3 linked regions of the Arabidopsis thaliana genome follow. The protein of the gene in region 1 interacts with the protein of each later gene in a pairwise test. Each region holds a gene or a part of one and is shown in the gene's direction. Other genes may lie near its edges.

The links. The genes of interacting proteins can lie anywhere in the genome.
Region 2: the proteins of MYB74 (region 1) and SEN1 interact in a two-hybrid assay, tested with the Arabidopsis thaliana proteins (one large-scale study listed by BioGRID).
Region 3: the proteins of MYB74 (region 1) and AT3G48510 interact in a two-hybrid assay, tested with the Arabidopsis thaliana proteins (one large-scale study listed by BioGRID).

Annotation. Positions count from the first base shown.
Region 1 is NC_003075.7:2,614,621-2,623,303, forward strand, and holds MYB74 (myb domain protein 74), read left to right. Parts: upstream 1-3,751; 5' UTR 3,752-3,936; coding exon 3,937-4,072; intron 4,073-4,164; coding exon 4,165-4,294; intron 4,295-4,461; coding exon 4,462-5,170; 3' UTR 5,171-5,327; downstream 5,328-8,683. UniProt on the Arabidopsis thaliana protein: Probable transcription factor that may function in salt stress response.
Region 2 is NC_003075.7:16,943,192-16,949,045, forward strand, and holds SEN1 (Rhodanese/Cell cycle control phosphatase superfamily protein), read left to right. Parts: upstream 1-1,686; 5' UTR 1,687-1,881; coding exon 1,882-2,033; intron 2,034-2,125; coding exon 2,126-2,322; coding exon of another isoform or gene 2,323-2,342; exon of another isoform or gene 2,343-2,412; coding exon 2,413-2,483; coding exon of another isoform or gene 2,484-2,528; exon of another isoform or gene 2,529-2,583; coding exon 2,584-2,637; coding exon of another isoform or gene 2,638-2,649; exon of another isoform or gene 2,650-2,717; coding exon 2,718-2,792; 3' UTR 2,793-3,050; downstream 3,051-5,854. Other genes in the region: LTO1 (NAD(P)H dehydrogenase (quinone)s), read right to left, coding at 1-74, 225-337, 434-690, 971-1,256, 1,333-1,431; STY17 (ACT-like protein tyrosine kinase family protein), read right to left, coding at 3,538-3,609, 3,684-3,818, 3,904-3,957, 4,071-4,151, 4,221-4,316, 4,477-4,652, 4,863-4,936, 5,129-5,236 and 2 more.
Region 3 is NC_003074.8:17,964,550-17,970,248, reverse strand, and holds AT3G48510 (AtIII18x5-like protein), read left to right. Parts: upstream 1-1,658; 5' UTR 1,659-1,796; coding exon 1,797-2,681; 3' UTR 2,682-2,895; downstream 2,896-5,699. Other genes in the region: PDE312 (Nucleic acid-binding, OB-fold-like protein), read right to left, coding at 4,841-5,258, 5,329-5,480.

The DNA of each region.
Region 1 (8,683 bases):
CACTTCACACACCAAAAAAAGTCTCGCCAGACTACGAAGCTTACTCAACCGCTTCCAAATCCAACTCCCAGAGTTGTACGGATTCAAATCCAACTACCAGAGCTAAATTCTATTTCGTTATTTTAATATCATTAACACACCTCTATTATGAAACCTCCAAGAATAGAAACCACTAAGTTTAATAATTCAAATATTCTATATAGATATAGCTACTTTACTATGTGGCACATCAACTCCACAACTATTAATTCCGATATCGTATCGCACTCGCATATGTATTGTAATTTTCTATACATAAATAAATGTTATATACATAATTACGTATGTGTGTGTGGACTCTTGGTCTTTGTCTTTCAACTATTTAGAATTCAAATGGCTCGTTTCTGACGTATCAAAATCTGGAATAATGCGACGATAATCTCTACGTACGTGACTCGATTTATTTTAACATACATACTAATCAATCATATTTTATATTAAGAAAAATTAGGCAAGTATCGTGTATATATATATATATAGTATGTGGCTACATACTATTATTGCCCACATACAGTAAAACCTCTATAAATTAATACTCGATAAATTAATAACCTCTATAAATTAATAAATTCTTCCGGTCCCGAGTTGGGACCACTATAAAAATTGATACAAATCGATAAATTAATAAGATAATAATTATTTTGAAAATTTTATGTAAATATATGGTCCCATCAATATTATAAATTAATAATTGTATAAATTTATGAATATATATATATATATATATATTTATATTTATGAATATATATTATGTAAAACTTAGTAAAATATGACTTTAGTATTGTTTTTCTTCAATTTATATTAATTCTTTGTAAAATTCAATTCTAATAATTTTACTACGTATAAAAAAGATTTTTTTTTTAAACCTAATAATGGTTTTATACTTGTAATTGATTTTTAGAAAAATTATTGATTGTAGAGAGGAACTACCTTTTGGATTAAATTTTTGTAAAAAATTACAAATTTTTTAAAATCTCTCCATAAATTAATAATTATTAATTTATCGATAAATTAATACCTCTCTAAATTAATAAATTTTTGTACTATTATTACCTAGAAAGTGAAAATTGACCTACAAATATATCTTCAATTTGATTCACATATACGAAGTCACGTATGTTTCTATAAATTTAGATCCAAAATGTGTGAAAACCCATCTGTTTTTGCAAATTCTTGCAATTGCAATTGCACATGTTTCTATTACGTTTAAATCAATCGAGCTCTAAGTGATTTATCCATAGTGATATACAGATCCAATATCCATGAAACATATTTAATTCATGAAAAGGCTCAAACATTATCAACAAATAAGATATGGTCAACTATGTAGTAACTAGTAACACGTAGGCTGCTGCTCTTTGTGGCAAATTCATGCGCAAGCAAAGCCTCTAGATGTTTGACAAGTTACTACCCTAATATAGCATCACTAGCTATCTTCTAATTTTTTTTTTTAGTTATTTTAATCCTGTATTCTTTTATTTATTTATTTGATAAAGTGATGAAATTTTATTCTCCTTTTTCTTATCAACTAATATACTTATTCATTCACATAATTTCGCACTTTGCGGAGTTTTCATTTGTCGTTAAACCCGACAGATTCTTGAACCGCAAGGAACGAGACATTAACCTAATGTACTTATATTTAACTATAGTATTATAATAGCATAAATGTGACAATGATTCGATCACTACTAATATATTAATCACCAATCTATATCGTCGTCCTTCCTGATTATTTGAAGATTTTGTCTATAAACTAGCTGCTTTTGTTTATGTATTTTTATTACTTGGATGCTTTTGTTTGTTGGAATATTCGAATGAATTTTTGTTTGCCTGAAACTATGCATATATAATAAGGCCATATGCGCCAATAATATAGAATCCAAATATTCATTAACTATAATTAGTTTGTTCTAGAGTTTTAGCTACTCATATATTCAAATTCTTAGGAGATCAAAAAAGTACTTAATTAGTTAATAAAATCCATTTTTATTAGTTGTAATTAAATGTAAAGTGTCGAAACACGAAAGGGAAGATGAGTTGCACAACTCGTGGTTCCTATAAGAGTGATAATCTATCTGACGTCACGCCATGCAAAATGTATCAATCAATTTTCTTCTCACATTTATATTTACTTCAAAATGATTATAAAGCCACCCAATGAATAATAAGATATATATATATATATATATAACTCAAAATCAAAAATTTCAAATGGAATTTGGAAGCATCACAAATTCACAATCATGTATTCAAAATCTCACGTAGAAAAAGCTAATAAGTCCAAAAGATTGGTCTTCATTTTTTTCTTGAGAAAGTTTGATGGGATAGAGAGAGAGACAGAGAGGAACAGCTAAATTTGCTGTGTATGTATTTAATACTTGAACATTTATTTATCTATTTTCTTATACATCAAACTCACGAATTTATAGGTTGGTAATGTCGTTTTTATAACATTAATAAAAATTGCAATTGTAGTTTTTATTGAAATTTACCCAAAAAAAACTATTATACGAAAATATGTTATTTATTTAAAATTTGATATTAGATGAATCCAGAATCTTTTATAAAACTTGGTGTGTGTGAACCTGCGTTAATTTGTTAAATACTTTTCACGTAAAAATCAAAATTAATTTTAAAAGTTATGTTACCAAACAGTATTCTGATAGTTTTACAAATTTTATCCATTGTATATGTTTTGTTTTTGCAAAAAAGTCCAAAGGAAAAAACAAAGCAGAAGGGTTGAATTGTGAGGAAAGAGAGAGTACGTGGCATCATAACTTTGGCGACAGCTAATGTGAAAACAGCCAAAAGCTACGGAGAGCGACACTCCTCGACGACGTCCATGTCTCTTTAGATTGTGATTGCATTGTTAATTATCATATTTATCAATTGATTAGTTAAGTCTTAAGTATCATCACACAAGTTTATACATTAATCTATACAGTGTTTAACACTACAAAACTCCCCAAAATCACGTGTTTCATATCATACGTACATTTGTCTACCGTCTTTATTAACAATATTAAAACAGAATTTATCAATTTTCTAGTTGAATAGACTATATACTATTATAGAGACTCTTATAAATTATGAAACTCCTAATCAATTAAAAATAGTTAATTTGAAACATATCACTCGAAACTAGGGTATTAGTTGGATTGACGATATTTTTCTTATTAATATCAACGAGAAGAATCAAGTGTCGTTAGCTCAATTGGTAAAAAATTTAGGCAAAGCTTAGAGATGTCTATTTGAGTGACGCTTGGAACAAAAATTACATGCTATGGTTTCAGGCCTAGAGAAATGCTTCGATCCAGAATCTCTTGATATTCAAAAAAAAAAAAAAAATCAACAAGAAGAATGTATAAATGGTTTCTATACTATCTAAGTTATGAAAAATATTTTTGGTTACCCAAATTACAAGATTTGTACCGAAGTGTCACACTAGATTCACATGCATGCATAGTTATAATTAACTTAAAACATAAATGACTTACAAAAATACTTACAAACAAAAACCAAATTAAGTTATTTAGTGGCCAGCTTTGTTACTAGAGTTTTAGCCATTATCATAATTCACAATAAGGTGTAGGAAAAAACATTAATATATAGTATGTATACATCCAAAAAAAACTTTTTGGAAAAAACAAATTTTGGGATTATAAAGGACACGTAGCCCAATCGATGAACAGAGGACGGCACCGAATCAATTTGACTTCACCTTTTTTCCCCATATGATAAGAGTCTCATCTCTTTCCTATATATATTTCGTACCTCTCTTTAAGGACCCTACGTCTCTCTCTTTCTCTCTACTCTCTGTTTCCTCATAATTCAATCACTATATTTTTTTAAAAACATTTGACTTCATCGATCGGTTAACAATTAATCAAAAAGATGGGACGATCACCATGTTGTGAGAAGAAGAATGGTCTCAAGAAAGGACCATGGACTCCTGAGGAGGATCAAAAGCTCATTGATTATATCAATATACATGGTTATGGAAATTGGAGAACTCTTCCCAAGAATGCTGGTTAGTATACGTATCTTCATTATTACATTTTAATCATACTTTTTTTATTCGTGAATTGTCTTTTTAAAGTTTTGCTTGAATCTTGACTATAGGGTTACAAAGATGTGGTAAGAGTTGTCGTCTCCGGTGGACCAACTATCTCCGACCAGATATTAAGCGTGGAAGATTCTCTTTTGAAGAAGAAGAAACCATTATTCAACTTCACAGCATCATGGGAAACAAGTGAGTTTGAACTTTTCAATAATTTTATATTTTTGCCATTACGTAGTTTATACGAAAACTACTAATCTTGTAGATTAGTCTTAGAGTCATAGCTTTGAATGATGTTACTAGTGATTTATGTTAAATCTACAATGCATCAGATTCTAACTTTGTTTGCTTTCGTATAGGTGGTCTGCGATTGCGGCTCGTTTGCCTGGAAGAACAGACAACGAGATCAAAAACTATTGGAACACTCACATCAGAAAAAGACTTCTAAAGATGGGAATCGACCCGGTTACACACACTCCACGTCTTGATCTTCTCGATATCTCCTCCATTCTCAGCTCATCTATCTACAACTCTTCGCATCATCATCATCATCATCATCAACAACATATGAACATGTCGAGGCTCATGATGAGTGATGGTAATCATCAACCATTGGTTAACCCCGAGATACTCAAACTCGCAACCTCTCTCTTTTCAAACCAAAACCACCCCAACAACACACACGAGAACAACACGGTTAACCAAACCGAAGTAAACCAATACCAAACCGGTTACAACATGCCTGGTAATGAAGAATTACAATCTTGGTTCCCTATCATGGATCAATTCACGAATTTCCAAGACCTCATGCCAATGAAGACGACGGTCCAAAATTCATTGTCATACGATGATGATTGTTCGAAGTCCAATTTTGTATTAGAACCTTATTACTCCGACTTTGCTTCAGTCTTGACCACACCTTCTTCAAGCCCGACTCCGTTAAACTCAAGTTCCTCAACTTACATCAATAGTAGCACTTGCAGCACCGAGGATGAAAAAGAGAGTTATTACAGTGATAATATCACTAATTATTCGTTTGATGTTAATGGTTTTCTCCAATTCCAATAAACAAAACGCCATTGGAATAGAGTTATGTAAACATGCAATCATTGTATTTGTTATATAGATTTTGTTACATATCCAAAATCCAAAATACTATAGTTTTAAAATATTTATTACTAAAGTATATTCGTCAAGGGGAAAGCAACATCCCACCAGTAAACAATATAAAGCTCAGCTCATAACATTGTTTTAATGATGGAGTTTCTATTATTGGTATCTATCTACTCTTTTGTTTAATATTTGTGGTCGGCTTTTCTTCTACATAAATGCATGGAGATCGTATCAACGATCATATTAAAATATGATTCGAAGATATATACTATAATTGATATCATACATGGTGCTGAAATGTTATCGAAATAGAAAGGTAGATAAATAATTGATAGTGAATAATTATATCATTGACTTATTATCTCTTGTTTCTCTGAAGAAATAAACTAATGATAATTTATGAACCAAAACAATACTAATAACAAATGTTTTGAAATGGAAGTGGGCCATTAAGTCAATCAAAAATTTGCACAATTTCACTAGAACCAATCAAAATGCACGAAAAACTTTCTATTTTGACCACCAGAGAAGTCTTACGAATTTACTAACCGGAATCCGGCGAGACTGGCCGGAGCGTGAACTAGAAGTACACGTGGTATGGTAGCGTACGTGTGCAATTGGGGTCAGATCACGGGACACAATCTAATGACCAGACGCCACTTGTACGACACGAAAGCAATAAGTGGAAAACGTAAGGAAAAAGTTGAAAGAAAAAGCTCGTTTTAATTGAAATCACGGTTTGTGTTAATTAATCACCTTTAACACGTGTTGTACGGAGAGCCAACTGAGAGTGGGGACGCGTGGGGACAAAGCAGCATGTGTAAACACGAACGTCGGCATTTTTTGGGATGAGCTGTTTGTTTTGACCCCTTGTTCGGTTTTTCCAGTGGATCTTTTATTACGTATAGAGTCAACATTTTTTATAAGAATAAATTATTGTGGTAATTAAATAAACCTTGTTTTTTTCATTAAATAAAAACTTGTTTAGTAAGAGAAATTTCATATTATTTTCTTTGGTTTTAATGCTAAGAGTCTTAACGAAATTAAACAATTACATATCTTGCCAATTTTGAATGCTTAATTTGCAACTAGAATAAATTGTATATATCTAGTTTTACTTTTTTTTTTCTTTACTTTTTTTTGGTAAAATATATAGTTTTATTTTTGAATTGACGGAAACGTAAGTGGGTTAGTTGAGTTGTTTCTTTTTTATATATACGTAATTAGATATAAACGTGCGGTATACCGTAGATACTCTTATATTTTAGTTAAACTAAAATTTTTTATTGTAAAAGTGATTTATAAATATATAATATTATTTTATGGATTTTAAATGTATAGTAAACTGCTAGTTGTATATTTTTGTTGATATTATTTATATTGTTCAGTATTTAAGATTATACACTTGTATTTAATTGTTAATTTTAGAGTTTCACCTATAATTACCATCTTGTATTAATATTGATTTAAACCCGTCAATTCTAAGATTTTCAAGCTTGTATTAAAAATTGAATCACATCATACACATAAAAAAATCTAATATGTTATTAATTATTATAGTATATAAGATTATAAATTTTCAAAATAATATGTATGAAATTGAATATAAATATTTAAATTATAACCCGTTACTTAGTAGAAAGTTTTCTAAAATCTATTTTTGACCTGTTATAATATTTTTTCATGTATTGAACAGTTTATATTCGTTTTTAAAAATATAAATCATGGCACATGCGAAAAGCTAATTATTCTTTTATAACAATAATATTATTTTTTCGCAAAAATAGAATCATATAAAGATGAGAGATGAACTATAATAATTAATAAAAAATTAATATGATAATTTAGATATCAAATCTAATTTGTTGATTTTAATTAGTTATTTTTTTTGGAAATTAATAATGTATTTCGTTTGTCTAATTAAATTAAATTAATTAAAATTTGGATATCAAATCTTATATGTTGATTTTGATTGGTTACTTTTTTAGAAATTAAAAATGTATTTTGTTTTTTAATTAAATTTAATTAATTAAATTAGTATTTGACTTTTTAATATTTAAAAAGATGAATTATTTTACTCTTTGAAATTTTATTTTTAATTGCATACCTATGTAATTACTTACAAAAAATATGGTTATTTTATTATGTATTTCCCAATAATAGTATAGGATTATGTTAGCATATATTTACAATGTTACCACATTTGATTTTATTTTTAATATCTTTTGTTAGCAATTTTTACTGAATGTTGAAACTTGTCAAATGTCACTATTCATCACGATTTTCAGTTTGAGCGAGATTTTTATCGATTTTTTTGGAAACTTTAAAACACTGTCGTCATAGTATACTTTTTTCTAAACATCAAATTTCCAGGACTATAATAAGAGACTATAATAAAAGCTTATAACAATAAATTATTAGCAAGTTTTAACAAGAAAAATTAAAATCTTTCATATGTTTTAGGCACCCTTAAAAATAATTTCCTTAATTGTTATTGGCCAACTTTTAATATTATACAGTATAACCTCTATAAATTAATACTCTATAAATTAATAACTTCTATAAATTAATAAATTTTTCCGGTCTTAAGTTGGAACCAGTGTAAAAAGTGACACAAACGATAAATTAATATGATAATAATTGTTTTGAAAGTTTTATGTAAATATATGGTCCCATCAATATCGTAAATTAATAATTGTATAAATGTATCAACTACATATATATTATATGTAAAACATAAAACATTTCCTTATAATATATTTTTAATATTTTTTTGCTTAAATTCATATTTGTTCTTTGTTTGAATATAATTATCATAGTTTACTGTATCAAAACTGTTGGTGTTGTTTGTAGACATTATTATTATATTTTCAATAATGAAAGAAATTTTATAGAAATTTTTAAAAAGTTACCAAAATTTTGAAAATCTTTTTATAAATTAATAAATATTAATTTATCGATAAATTAATACCTTTCTAAATTAATAAAATTTTGTAGTCCCAATATTATTAATTTATAGAGATTTTACTGTATATATAAACTCTAAAGTTTTAAATCTAAAGTCTAACTTCGACACCATAAATAGTTGGCTTAAACTACACCACAACTTGTTTCGTGGCAAGTCTATTACCGAAAAAAAGAACTGGCCACATTATAGGCACAAGAACATTTTTCTACATAACACAAATCCAGTTTTAACCATTAGAAAGAAAAAGAAAAACATATGAAACACAAAATAAAGCAAAAATATGATAAGAAAGTGATTATCATATTTTTCTAATAATAGACAGATTGTTTCAAAAAGAAAAATATACTTAAAAAGTAGAGAAACTAAAAACTGAGAAATAATTGACAAAAAGATTGAGAAATAAAAAGAATAAATGTAAATTTATTTATTTGATTTTTATTTTGATTTAAATTAAATGAGGTTTTTATTTGTTACATTAACTGTTTAAATTTTATAATTAA
Region 2 (5,854 bases), about 14 Mb from region 1:
CTAAAGCAATAGCATAAGGGCTCGATGATGAACTGATCTCTGTTCTAAAATATGGCAGTTCAATGTCACCAGAGCTGGAAGGAGTGAAACAAAAAACGATCGGGATTAAAAGAGACCACCTGATAAGACTCATACATCTTTCGGAAGCTATTTGTTCACTACTCGTTACAAATGACTAAAATTTCTATCGGGACTCCCCAAAGAAAACTATGAACTTTGATTACCGTGAAGGGATTGGTTGAGCAGTACTGTAAGAAGCAGTCAAGGAGGCAACTACTATGATTGCTAAGCATATCTGCAATCCTACAACTTGCTGTATTTCTTGCAACTTCACATCCTACCACATGCATGGAGCACATTATCATAATCCGAAGTTTAGAAGTTATCTTGAGTCAACATCAGGAAAAAAAAAGAAATGGAAATAAAGGGATACCTTTACAGAGAGGAAAAATAGACTAAATGATAAGAAAGCAGACACCAGACAATACAGGCATGATGATCCTGAGAGTTTTGTGCTAAGGATATACAGGAAATATGCACTAGCAGATGCCATTGCAGTCGTGATCCCAAATAACGCGAAACGCCCATTGCTCTTACTGATTCCAAAAGGTAGATTCCCTTCCCCAAGCTCTGCACTTAGAGCGGTTACTACGCCATACATAACAAATCCAATCACTGGAAGAGGAACACCTGGCAAAATGTAAAAAAGGATTTTCATTGAGTTCAACTTACCTGCAATGCAATGTTGGACAAACAACGAAGACAAAGCACTACATAGAGTGGAGTGAAGCATGCTATTTAACTCTAACAATTCTATGCATACTAAGTACCAAAGCTCCTAAATGATATAGCTTCAAGCAAAGATTCACAGAGACTATCACATGCGAGTATTTAATCATGCCTACTATAAAAGAGAGGACAATTAGCTACATAAATCAAACGCTATAATCAATAAAGCGATGGATAATACCGAAAACGACGGCATAATCGCTGTTGAGGACATCACCGCAAGTGCCACCACCAATAGGGCAAAACGCATCGGAGCCAGTGACCTTGAGGTAAGTCAAATACGCAGTGTCTAACATCCCAATACCGCCGATTCCGGTGTACCAGTTGTATGTCGAACTGTTACTAGTAGATACTTCACTTGTAGACGATGAGGAGGAGGAAGACAGCGACGGTGCCGAATCCTCACCGTTTTCCGGCTCAGATGAAGAACATTTAATCGGAATCGCAGGAAATCTCCGATCAGAGACCTAATTCAGAACATCTGACTTCAAATGACCGATCACACACTACTGTCACTGAAGAAAACACATGACAAGAATTTACCTCGAATCGTCTAGGATAAGAAGTTACCGACGGAGGAGAAACCTCACGGAAGCCGAAATGAAACTGACAAGACGACACAGAAACAAACCTCGCCATCATCGTCGTCGAAGAATCGCTATTCCACCATTGTTAACTTCATCATCTTCTCTCCTCCGCTCCACTATCTCAGCCACTTGTTTCAATATTGGGCCTAAACGAGGCCCAAATACGATAATTTGGATCCATAATTAGTTTATCACAATTGGGCCTTACGGTCTTCTTATCCGTCCGAGTCAGCAAGTTATCCTCTTCAACACGACTCACGAGGCACCGAGTTGGACTTATCATGATTCATTATCTACGCATTGTTTACATTTTGGAATCGACTTTGGTACATAATTGAATTTATCCATAGAAATGATAGAGACTCGAAGATCGGACATAAAACTTGCTGACGTGACACCCATACCTTTGTGTCTGTATGTATTATATAAACGCTATAGAACTAAGAGAAGAAGTATCTAAGTAGCATCAAAGCATTCTAAAAGAAGTTTCAAAGAAGAAGTGAAAATGGAAACCACTGCTTTTAACACAACATCACGAATTGGAAACTGGTCATCGGCTATTTCTCCACCTCTACAAACATGTGGATCTTTCAAGTGCCAATTACCAACACGAAGAGGTGTTATTGTAGCTGATCTTCGAAACTCAAACTTCCGATGGTAAGCTAGCAATCAACGACGAGAATCGCCTTCTCTATCTGATTTTAGATTATGAATAAATATTAAATCTGAGTATTAACTTCTTGCTCAAGGAGGAAAGCAACGACAACAAGCAGAGGAAATGTTGCAGCAGAGGCAGTTAAAATTCCTACGTCAGTACCAGTAAGAGTGGCGCGTGAGCTAGCTCAAGCAGGATACCGCTATCTCGACGTGAGGACACCAGACGAATTCAGCATCGGACATCCGACTAGAGCCATCAACGTACCTTACATGTACAGAGTCGGATCAGGTTTTCATCACCGACCTTAAGGTTCCTCTTATGAGAAAGAGTGAAAATGAAAAACAACTTAAAACTAACACCAAGCCAAAACCGTTGCAGGAATGGTTAAGAACCCGAGTTTTCTAAGACAGGTCTCGTCCCACTTCAGGAAACACGATGAAATCATAATCGTAAGTTTCAGTTTTGACATTCAGAGACTAAATAAACCCCTATGAAGACAATCCCTTGTTTCACAAAATCTCTGATGCACGTAATAAACTACTTCTGCAGGGTTGTGAGAGCGGTCAAATGTCATTTATGGCCTCAACTGATCTTCTCACTGCTGTATGTGTGTAATATCACTTCAATTTATATAGCCGTTATCCGGTTTAGGACAAGCGGGTTTAATGTCGCCACATGTACAGGGCTTCACGGCGATCACAGACATTGCTGGAGGATACGTCGCTTGGACAGAGAATGAGCTGCCGGTAGAAGAGTGAAAACAATCATAGCCATATCACCTCCTGTAATTATCAATAAATTCTGTAGATGTTCTCAACGCAAGTATCAATCATCATTATTATTCTCTAAAACATAGTTTAACTGTCAAATCTATATTGGGTGAAAGCTTTACCGAACTTCGAACACCACAAAGTTTACGGACCAATTAAGGACGGGGATGCATGCCTACACACGTTTAGTTTTCGCCGTTTTAAAATTTTAATACTTAAACTAATTTTTAAATGATAATAGTGAAATTAACATTATTTTAGTTAAAAATTATTAATTACTTTCTTAAAATTTAAGTTTTAAATTGGTTTTAAATTATTATTCTTTAAGTTTAAGTGTTAAATTTATAAAATGATAGAAAAACATATTTATACATGGACAAGATCAAACCGAAAGGAACCGAAACTAATATTATGAAAACTAATATCAATCTCAACACAGGTGTTTCTGTATCTGAATCGTTTACGATCAGTTAATATGATTACTTGCTTTGATTAACAAAGAAATCCGTAGCCGCTCTTAAGAATGGCTTCAAAAGAATGGCTTTCACTTTATTGAGTTGCAATCCAAATCAATCTCTGCAGTGATAATTGTATCAAAAGGAGATTGTTTTTTAAGAAAATTATACATGGACAAAAAGAGTGAGGCTCTAAGAAACTGTACAACGAAAAAACGAGAAGTGAGTAGAGCTCTATCAAACCGATCAAACCAAATTTTTCAGCGCACCCGAGAGAGTCAACGATGGCCTTTTTTTAGGCCTGAAAAGTAACCACCATGTTTATCCTTGTGGCGCTCATCATCTCCAACCTGGTGGTTTCAAAACATATTAATGCTAAGAATCGTGTTGGTTAGAGAGAGAGATGCAATGATAAATCAATTACCTCGCGGATTAGTTGGTTAAGCATTTCTATGATTTCTGCAAAATTGGGTCTTAGAGCTGGGTCTTGCTGCCAGCATTTCTCAAGAAGTTCAGTCAGTTTTGGGTGTGTTTCCTTTGGAATTTTTGGTCTAAGTCCCTGTAAATTAATTACAAGTCATTGTGTTGAAGGCCGTTAATCAAAGCACGAGAAAAATAACTATAAAGTCCTATAGACATGATACCTTTTGGACAACGCCAACAGCAGCTTGCAGTGGAGTCAAGTAAGAATATGGGAGCTGTTTTCATTCATTATACACCAGTAAGAAAAAAAAGTGTGTTAAACACATGAGATTTACTGAGTTTAGCAACTTTCGACTAAAATCCAGAGAGAGAAAACTAGGAGTCTTACTTCCCCAGTCAAAAGTTCCCACAGCACAATCGCGTAGCTGAAGACATCTGCCCTGTGATCATAAGGTTTGTGCTCAATGACCTGGGTTCACAGAGTCTAGTGTCAAAAGCATGGAAAGTCAAAAAAAAGAACAAGACAAAGAAGTAATACCTCTGGAGCCATCCATCGGTATGTCCCTGTTTCCGCTGTCATAACCCCTGACTCAGTCTGCACTCTGGCAACACCAAAATCGGCAACTTTGACAACCTGTCCAAAATTATGTAGAAATTAAAGACATGTACCTCTGTTCTAAGAAGATTAAAAGAATTTTGTGGAGACGGAAAGAGGAAATTAAGTTTTTTGTAGAATTTTAAAGGTTTACAAGCTGAAAAGACTACATGATCAGTGGCCAAAGATTGAGACTTACTTCATGTTCGTCCATAAGAAGATTAGCAGTCTTAAGGTCTCTATGAATAATATTGTTTTGATGCAGATAATTCATTCCTTTCGAGACGTCGAGTGCCACTTTGAGCAAAGATTGAATTTTAAAAACCCCTTTGTGTTTGTGAAGGAAATCATAAATGCTCCCCCGAGTCATGAACTCTGATACAAAAGGATAAAATCATCCGACCATGAATACATGTAAAGGCCAAAACTAGGAAATGAAATGTTACGGTATTTACTAAACAATACTCTATAGAACCTCAATGTCCTGCTGAAACAACTTTCTCACCACGCTTGAAGATACAAAACCAACAAAAAAAACGATCTAGATGGAACCAGTCTCCTATTCATAATCTACTGACAACTTACCTGTCACAATGCAGAGGTTTGGTGATCGTGTACATGCACCAATGAACTGGACAACATTTTTATGCCGAACTTTCCTACAAATAGGGAAGTATCAGTAGTGGATGTTTCTGAATATTAACTTTGTTCAATGGACACTGGTTGTTAGAAAATGAGGGAAACTCATGCATGTTTCTACGTATACACCATGAAATGGAATTTTTGGAGATTTATTAGAATACATATACTATAAGAGTACGAGTTGCAATTAGAATCAAATTGCAGCACACCTCATTATATATACTTCCTGAGAAAACTCTCGTAGCATTTCCGCATTAACACGCTCAGGCTTGAGAATTTTGATAGCTACTTCCTGACTACAATAGGTTCCTCTAAATCTGCATAGCCATTAAGAATATATAGCTGTTAATTTCCTCATATAGTATTAAAAACAAGATTTTTGAATATGAAAACTCACAGTTCCCCGTATGATCCACATGCCACCTTTTTTTCAATTTTGAGCTGCTTCATGTCAATTTCCCACTCATCAGTTCCATCCGTAGGTATTTCAACACACGCAGGTAGCAGCTCGTTGGTTGATTTGTCATGCTCAAAGAAAGTGATAGATTTCTGTTTTGAACAAGGTTGATCCTGCAGAGCAGCCAGTGTGGAATATGGAGACATGACGACTATCAAAATTGATTCAAAACATAGCAAAAAAAACATCAGTACAGTGGTGCATTCAGTTTCGGAGTGAGCTAATTCTAAACCATTACTTGCACTTTCGGAATTTAAATTATGAATGTGGCATGGAGTCTAATATAAGGAATCTCATGAAGATAAGGAATGCTCATGACAATAGACTAACAAAAGATACCTTAAACTTTCTTATCTCCTTCTTCAATGCATCTTTTAAACCTTCTGTTTCCTGTATTTCAAAAGTGTATAAAGTTGCAACCAGTTTAGATGGCAGGGGCAGAAAGGTCATCAATGGTCAATATCTTTCGAAGTCATTT
Region 3 (5,699 bases), on another chromosome or scaffold:
GAGTTTTACAAAGCTAAAGCTGGCGATTAACAAGATAATCCTAGAAACTAAGCCGACGGATAACAAAAAATCTTTGGAGACTAAGATTTTGGTTTGAACTCTTATGAGATGTTTATTATTCTACCCAAAAAAATAGACTTCAAACAGATTGAATAATGTCTTTTTGAGAATGTTTTTAGCTCATCAGAAATTTAAAATGGTTTGGACAGTAATATGTATCTGACGCATATAGAAGATTGAAACTAATTACCATCTCTTGAGAAAACAAAGTTACACAATCAAACTCTTTGTTTGGCATAGGTCCACTGGCCTAAATTTTTTCTTTGTTCCCATTTGCAAAAATTAGATTCGAACTCGTAAAACATATATATCAAGTCGCTAATAGCCATTAAACTCATTTACTGGTCAAACTATAACTGTTATTTGTCAAATCCGTTATTGTTTGAATATGTCTATCCTCAAAAGAAGATCTCGAAGCAGAAGCTCAAGTAAAATTTATATATGTATTATGAATGTATCCAAGTTTTGTCCATAAGAATTCCTCTAATATTAATAGCTAAATTAAGGAAACACCTATAAACCAGATATAGATGATTATACTTGTTATAATCATTTACTATAGATAGGTACAATAGGAGTATATTTGATTAATCAATATTCCTTCTTGATATTTCAATAACGATTACCTAACTCCATTGGCACTAATCTTTATTTTTGTCACCAAATCTTTAAGTTCATTTACGCATGAGATCATCTTGTCCCCTTTCAGATCTAATTTGTCACAATCACTTTAAATTTAATTAAGATGCCATTCGCTTTAAATTTAGACTTGGTCAATGATTATAATTATAATCGATCGACTCATCACCTTTTGAGTCGTGTGACTCGTGCGTATAAAAACCATTTTTGTTGTCAGATATTTTAACTTGATTTTGCCATCTCTTCACTATTGTTACATCAGTAAATCGCTTCGTAAGTGGAGATTAATTTGCAAATTTTGGAACTAATTACTGACCAGTGATCCACTCTATATATGGTTGTATTAGTACTTGATTGGCAAATAACAAAAAAAAAACTTAAATAAAAAAACTGTGTTATTCTTAAATTTATAGTATATGGATTAGTTTTAAGAGTGTGGTTGGGAAATATACGAAAGTCCAAGAATCTTATTAGTTCGTTCACAATTGTATAGGGATGTTGTCACTAATTTTAACCAAATTATACCTTTTTATCTTTTTGCCTAACATTTTTTTGACGTTGCCCCAAAACGAAGCAATGAGTTGAGGGTTAGTGGTAAAAATAATCAAAAAGATTATATGCATAGATTTATGTGAAGTTAACCAAAAAAAAAACTCGACCCAAAATACATAATCTTCAACAAGAACTATGTTTTCTTCTTGCAACAAGAACTATCACTCCTGTCATAGCATAGACCAAACTTTTTTTTCTCCTACACTAATATATAAAGTTACAGTTCTTTTTACTGAACGGTAAAATTAATGGTTAGAGTTGGGAGAATAACTTAGGCAAAAAAACAAAAAGAGAGAATAACTTTCCATGTGCAACCCAAACCCTTTACTACTGTCTTCTAGACCCAACACAACCACAAGCGTGCAGGCAAAGACACGTGTCCATGTCACAACTAGTATAGACTCCAACACGTGTCCAGATCACAGACGTTATAAAACCCTTACCATTTCTGTTCAGTGTATTCCTCAGCTCAAGTAAAGCTTTTACCTAATTCTCAAACATTCTTTACACAAAAATATCAAGAGTGATATAGATAGCGAGAAAAAATGGACGGTAGGGGAGGGTGTTGCATAGCTAGGTACGCCATTGGCTCTGGACCGTACGATCTTTCCAAAGCAGATCGCATCATGCTTCGATTTCGTCCCATTGCTCCTAAACCGGCCAGCCCCGGCGGAGTAAATCCCGTATCCAGCGGAGATAGCGGCGGCGGAAGCTCCGACGTTTCCTTTAGATCAGCTAGTAGAAGAAAGAGGAAATGTCATCAGCTGAAGGAGAATGGTGGTAACGCCAAGAGGTGCACCCGGCGGAAGACGTCGGATAAACCCGTCGTTCACGGCAGTGCTAATGCGGTGACTCTTTCTCTATTACCGGAGAAACCTATAGATCTTAAGGCGGCGGTGGAGAAGCAGAAGCGGCAGGGTCCGTTATGGTTGAGTTTCAAAGACGGCGGAGGGATGCTCACACCGGCTTATCAGACACCGGAGATTGTGCAGAGGACGGTGGTGATTTCGTCGTGTATGACGGTGGAGCGTGTAACGGACGCTTGGATTGACGGTTACGGTTTAGGGAGGTCAGATGAAGAAAGGAAGATGAATCTTGTGAGAGACACGTGTCCTGGTTTCATATCCGACGGTTCAGGGAGAGTCACGTGGACTAATGACGCGTATCGGAAGATGGCTAGGGATATTATTCCCGTGGAAGAAGGTGCACCGGAGATAACTAGCGGCGATAGTTTTCACGTGATCGTACGGTTGGTGATGAGGGAGAGGCCGATGCTAACGTCCCCTGGATTCACATGCAGAATGAAACTCCAGTACACGTGTCAAAATCGTGAGAGAGGCTCAGTCACGGTGCCTTGCGACGTGTGGAGAATGGACGTCGGTGGTGGTTTTGCTTGGAGGCTCGACGTTAAGGCCGCTTTGTGCCTTTGACACCGTTAGATCAACTTTAGTCACTATGGGCACGAACATTACACATGATATGTCCTCCAATGATAAAATATGGATTCAGAACTAATTAGATTTCTAATGGTTTAACATATATTTATGTCGTTTTTGTTCTTATGCCTTCTTTGTTTTTGGTTGTTTTTTAAATAGTTTTTTATTTAAGAATTTTTGTAAAAAATGCATCTTTCTTTTGTTTGTTCTTGACGCATTTGTGATGCTAAATTTCAAGCTTGTTGCTTAAAAATAATTAATGAAGGAAAATTTTGTAAGTATTTAATGCGTATCGTCGGTGCGGTTCCCACCTATATTGGACGCATGTTGTGAGATTTCACGGCAAGGACGGTTGGAAATTACGGTCCGAGTGATCGTCCAAACATGCAAATTCCAAAATGGTCCAAAAAATGTGAAACATACCATCTTGATTGCTACAAAAAAGTGTGAGCGAACCGGTCTTACTTTGAGCTAGTTACTCACTTGAAGAGATATTTCAGTCGAACTCATCACATTTTGATTTTGATATTTTCTTTTCTTTTGTCGGCACTCACGTTTTGAGGAAACAAGGAATATAAGAAAGTAAACGACCCAATAAACGTGATACGTCGGAGCAAAAGAAAACAAAAAAGGAGGGTGAGGAATAAATGTTGTACTACAGCTTTGAATGTACTACAGTCTACCTGCGGTAAAAGTGCGATATCTAATGATACGTGGGACATCTATATATCATCTATGCCATAATAGAAATGCCACATGGACCAATGTTTAACTATGTGTAGCTGTGTTTTTGGAACTTAAACATCAGTTCCATTTTTTGACAAAAAAAGAAGAAGACGTCAGATTCAAAACATTCAAATCAACGGTGTGTACCAAATTCCAAATCGTTAAGTTAATGAGAAACTGATTTTACCATCTCCGGATAAGAAATAGCGCTACAAGACTAAAATCAAAGACATTGTATGATACTATAATCGAGTTTTTAAGGGTCAAATGAATAGTGTTTAGCCGGGGACTTTTCTTTTATAAATTGTTTTTTAGAATCTTTTTGAATTTATTTTTCGTTATATATAATCAAATTAATCAAAACATAAATAAATTAAGAGTTTTAAATAGCAATACAAGTCTACCTACATTGGACATAAATTGTATAATAATTTAGTTAAGAATTTTAAGGAGACTTTTCTTTTGTAAATTGTTTGTTAGAATCTTTTAGTATTACTTAATCTTCCGTTACTATTGTTAATGACCTAACTGATCAGAAGCGGAGTACTGAGACGTTGCAAACACCATCCTTAAACCGTAAACAATATGTATGAAGATTGTTTTTGGTTGTATAAAATAAAACAAGTCAACGGACGATTTAAACAGAATAATAAAATTGGGCCGAAGCTTATTAGCCTTTTAAGGCCCACAAAGAAGAGCGAAAACCCTTAACGAGCATATACAACTCGGAGCACCTCTTTTCTCTCGCTCTCTTCCTCTTCAAGGTTTATATTTATAACTTCTTTTGCTGCTCTCAACGAACTCTTCCAGGCTAATAAACCGTCTCTGTTTTCATCTTCTCCGTAGCTGAGATAGCTCCATACCCTCTCCGACCCAAGTAAACTGATTTTCCATGTTATGGAGATTTGGTTCTCTAACTTATTGCTTTAGAGTTTTGATGTCATTGTACAAGTTTAATGCTATTATTTTTGTGAATTAGGTACAACCTTGCAGAGTAGCTTTGGTAAGAGTTTGCCTTAAGAGTTTTGTCATCAAAGAGCACACATGGTGTGAAGTTTTTGGTATACACGGAGAGATGACAAGGGTTTTTGATATTCCAGGTACGAACGAGAAAGCCTTTTGATAGAAGTTGATGTTTTGGAGCCCAAACAGAAGAAACAAGAGAAACATTTAGGCGTATTTTGCGGTGTCAAGACTACCTTCTCTGACGACGATTGATAGAAAAAACAAAAAACGTCACGTTCCTAACGTTCAACGGTGTACTACAAGATCCCAAACGTCTGGCTAAGTTAATAAGAAACTGATTTTACTATCTCCGGGATAAGAAGAAATGAAAAAAAAAAACTATCAAATAGATCAAACCTAACAGACAAAAATTCAAATAAATCAACCTCGACAATTTCTTATTTTTACTTTCCTTTTAAACATCAGTCTGTCAAGACTTGAGTACCGTTAACAAGAGGTTGCTGTTCCGAGTAACCGATACTGCTCTCATCACTCAGAATGCTATAGTCAAAATCGTCAAAATCATCGTCATCCTCTTCTTCTTCCTCTGACTCTGTTTCTTCTTCTTGACTCGCCAAGGTAGACCCTTCTTTTCTTTTCTCTATTGTCTGCTTAATCGCATCATCGTAAGACATGTCATACCACACATTGCCTTTCCCAACAATGGATTTGTTGTGTGCATCCTTCATTCTCTCTTGCTTGCTAATCTCTGAGTTCTTTGGCTCTCCCCAGTAGTCATACTGATATAATGCACTTGTTGGATCGTACTGGTCTTTCCCAAAGAAGCTTCCTGGCTTGTACCTCCCTGGTTCCTCCAATGGTAAACCAAGTGCTTGCCGACTGCAAAATAAATCTTCTTCATCTAAACACTTTCTTTGAAAAACATCAAAGTGAACTTTTTTTTACTTACGAGCTGATATCTCTGAGCAATGCTTCTCTTTCCTCCAAAGATCGGCGCCAGTGTAAGAAATCATACTCGTCCATCTCTATATTTCGTCTGAGCTTGTCAATTTTGTATCCTTCTCCTCTTGCTTTAGCTTCCATCATTAGTTTATTGTGGTGCTGCACAAGACAACAGGAGAGTATTGAGTTATTAACCACTATCAGTATAAAAGATTCATACAACAATGTGTCAATTACAAAGTGCAAAGCCTTAAAATGGAACTGTGACGACAATCGGAGTTACCAAGACAGTGTGAAGTGGAAATCTATTAAAAATAAACAAATACAAACGAGAATATTTCCGTAGCAGTGGGTTAAAGGAAATTGGTGACGACAAGT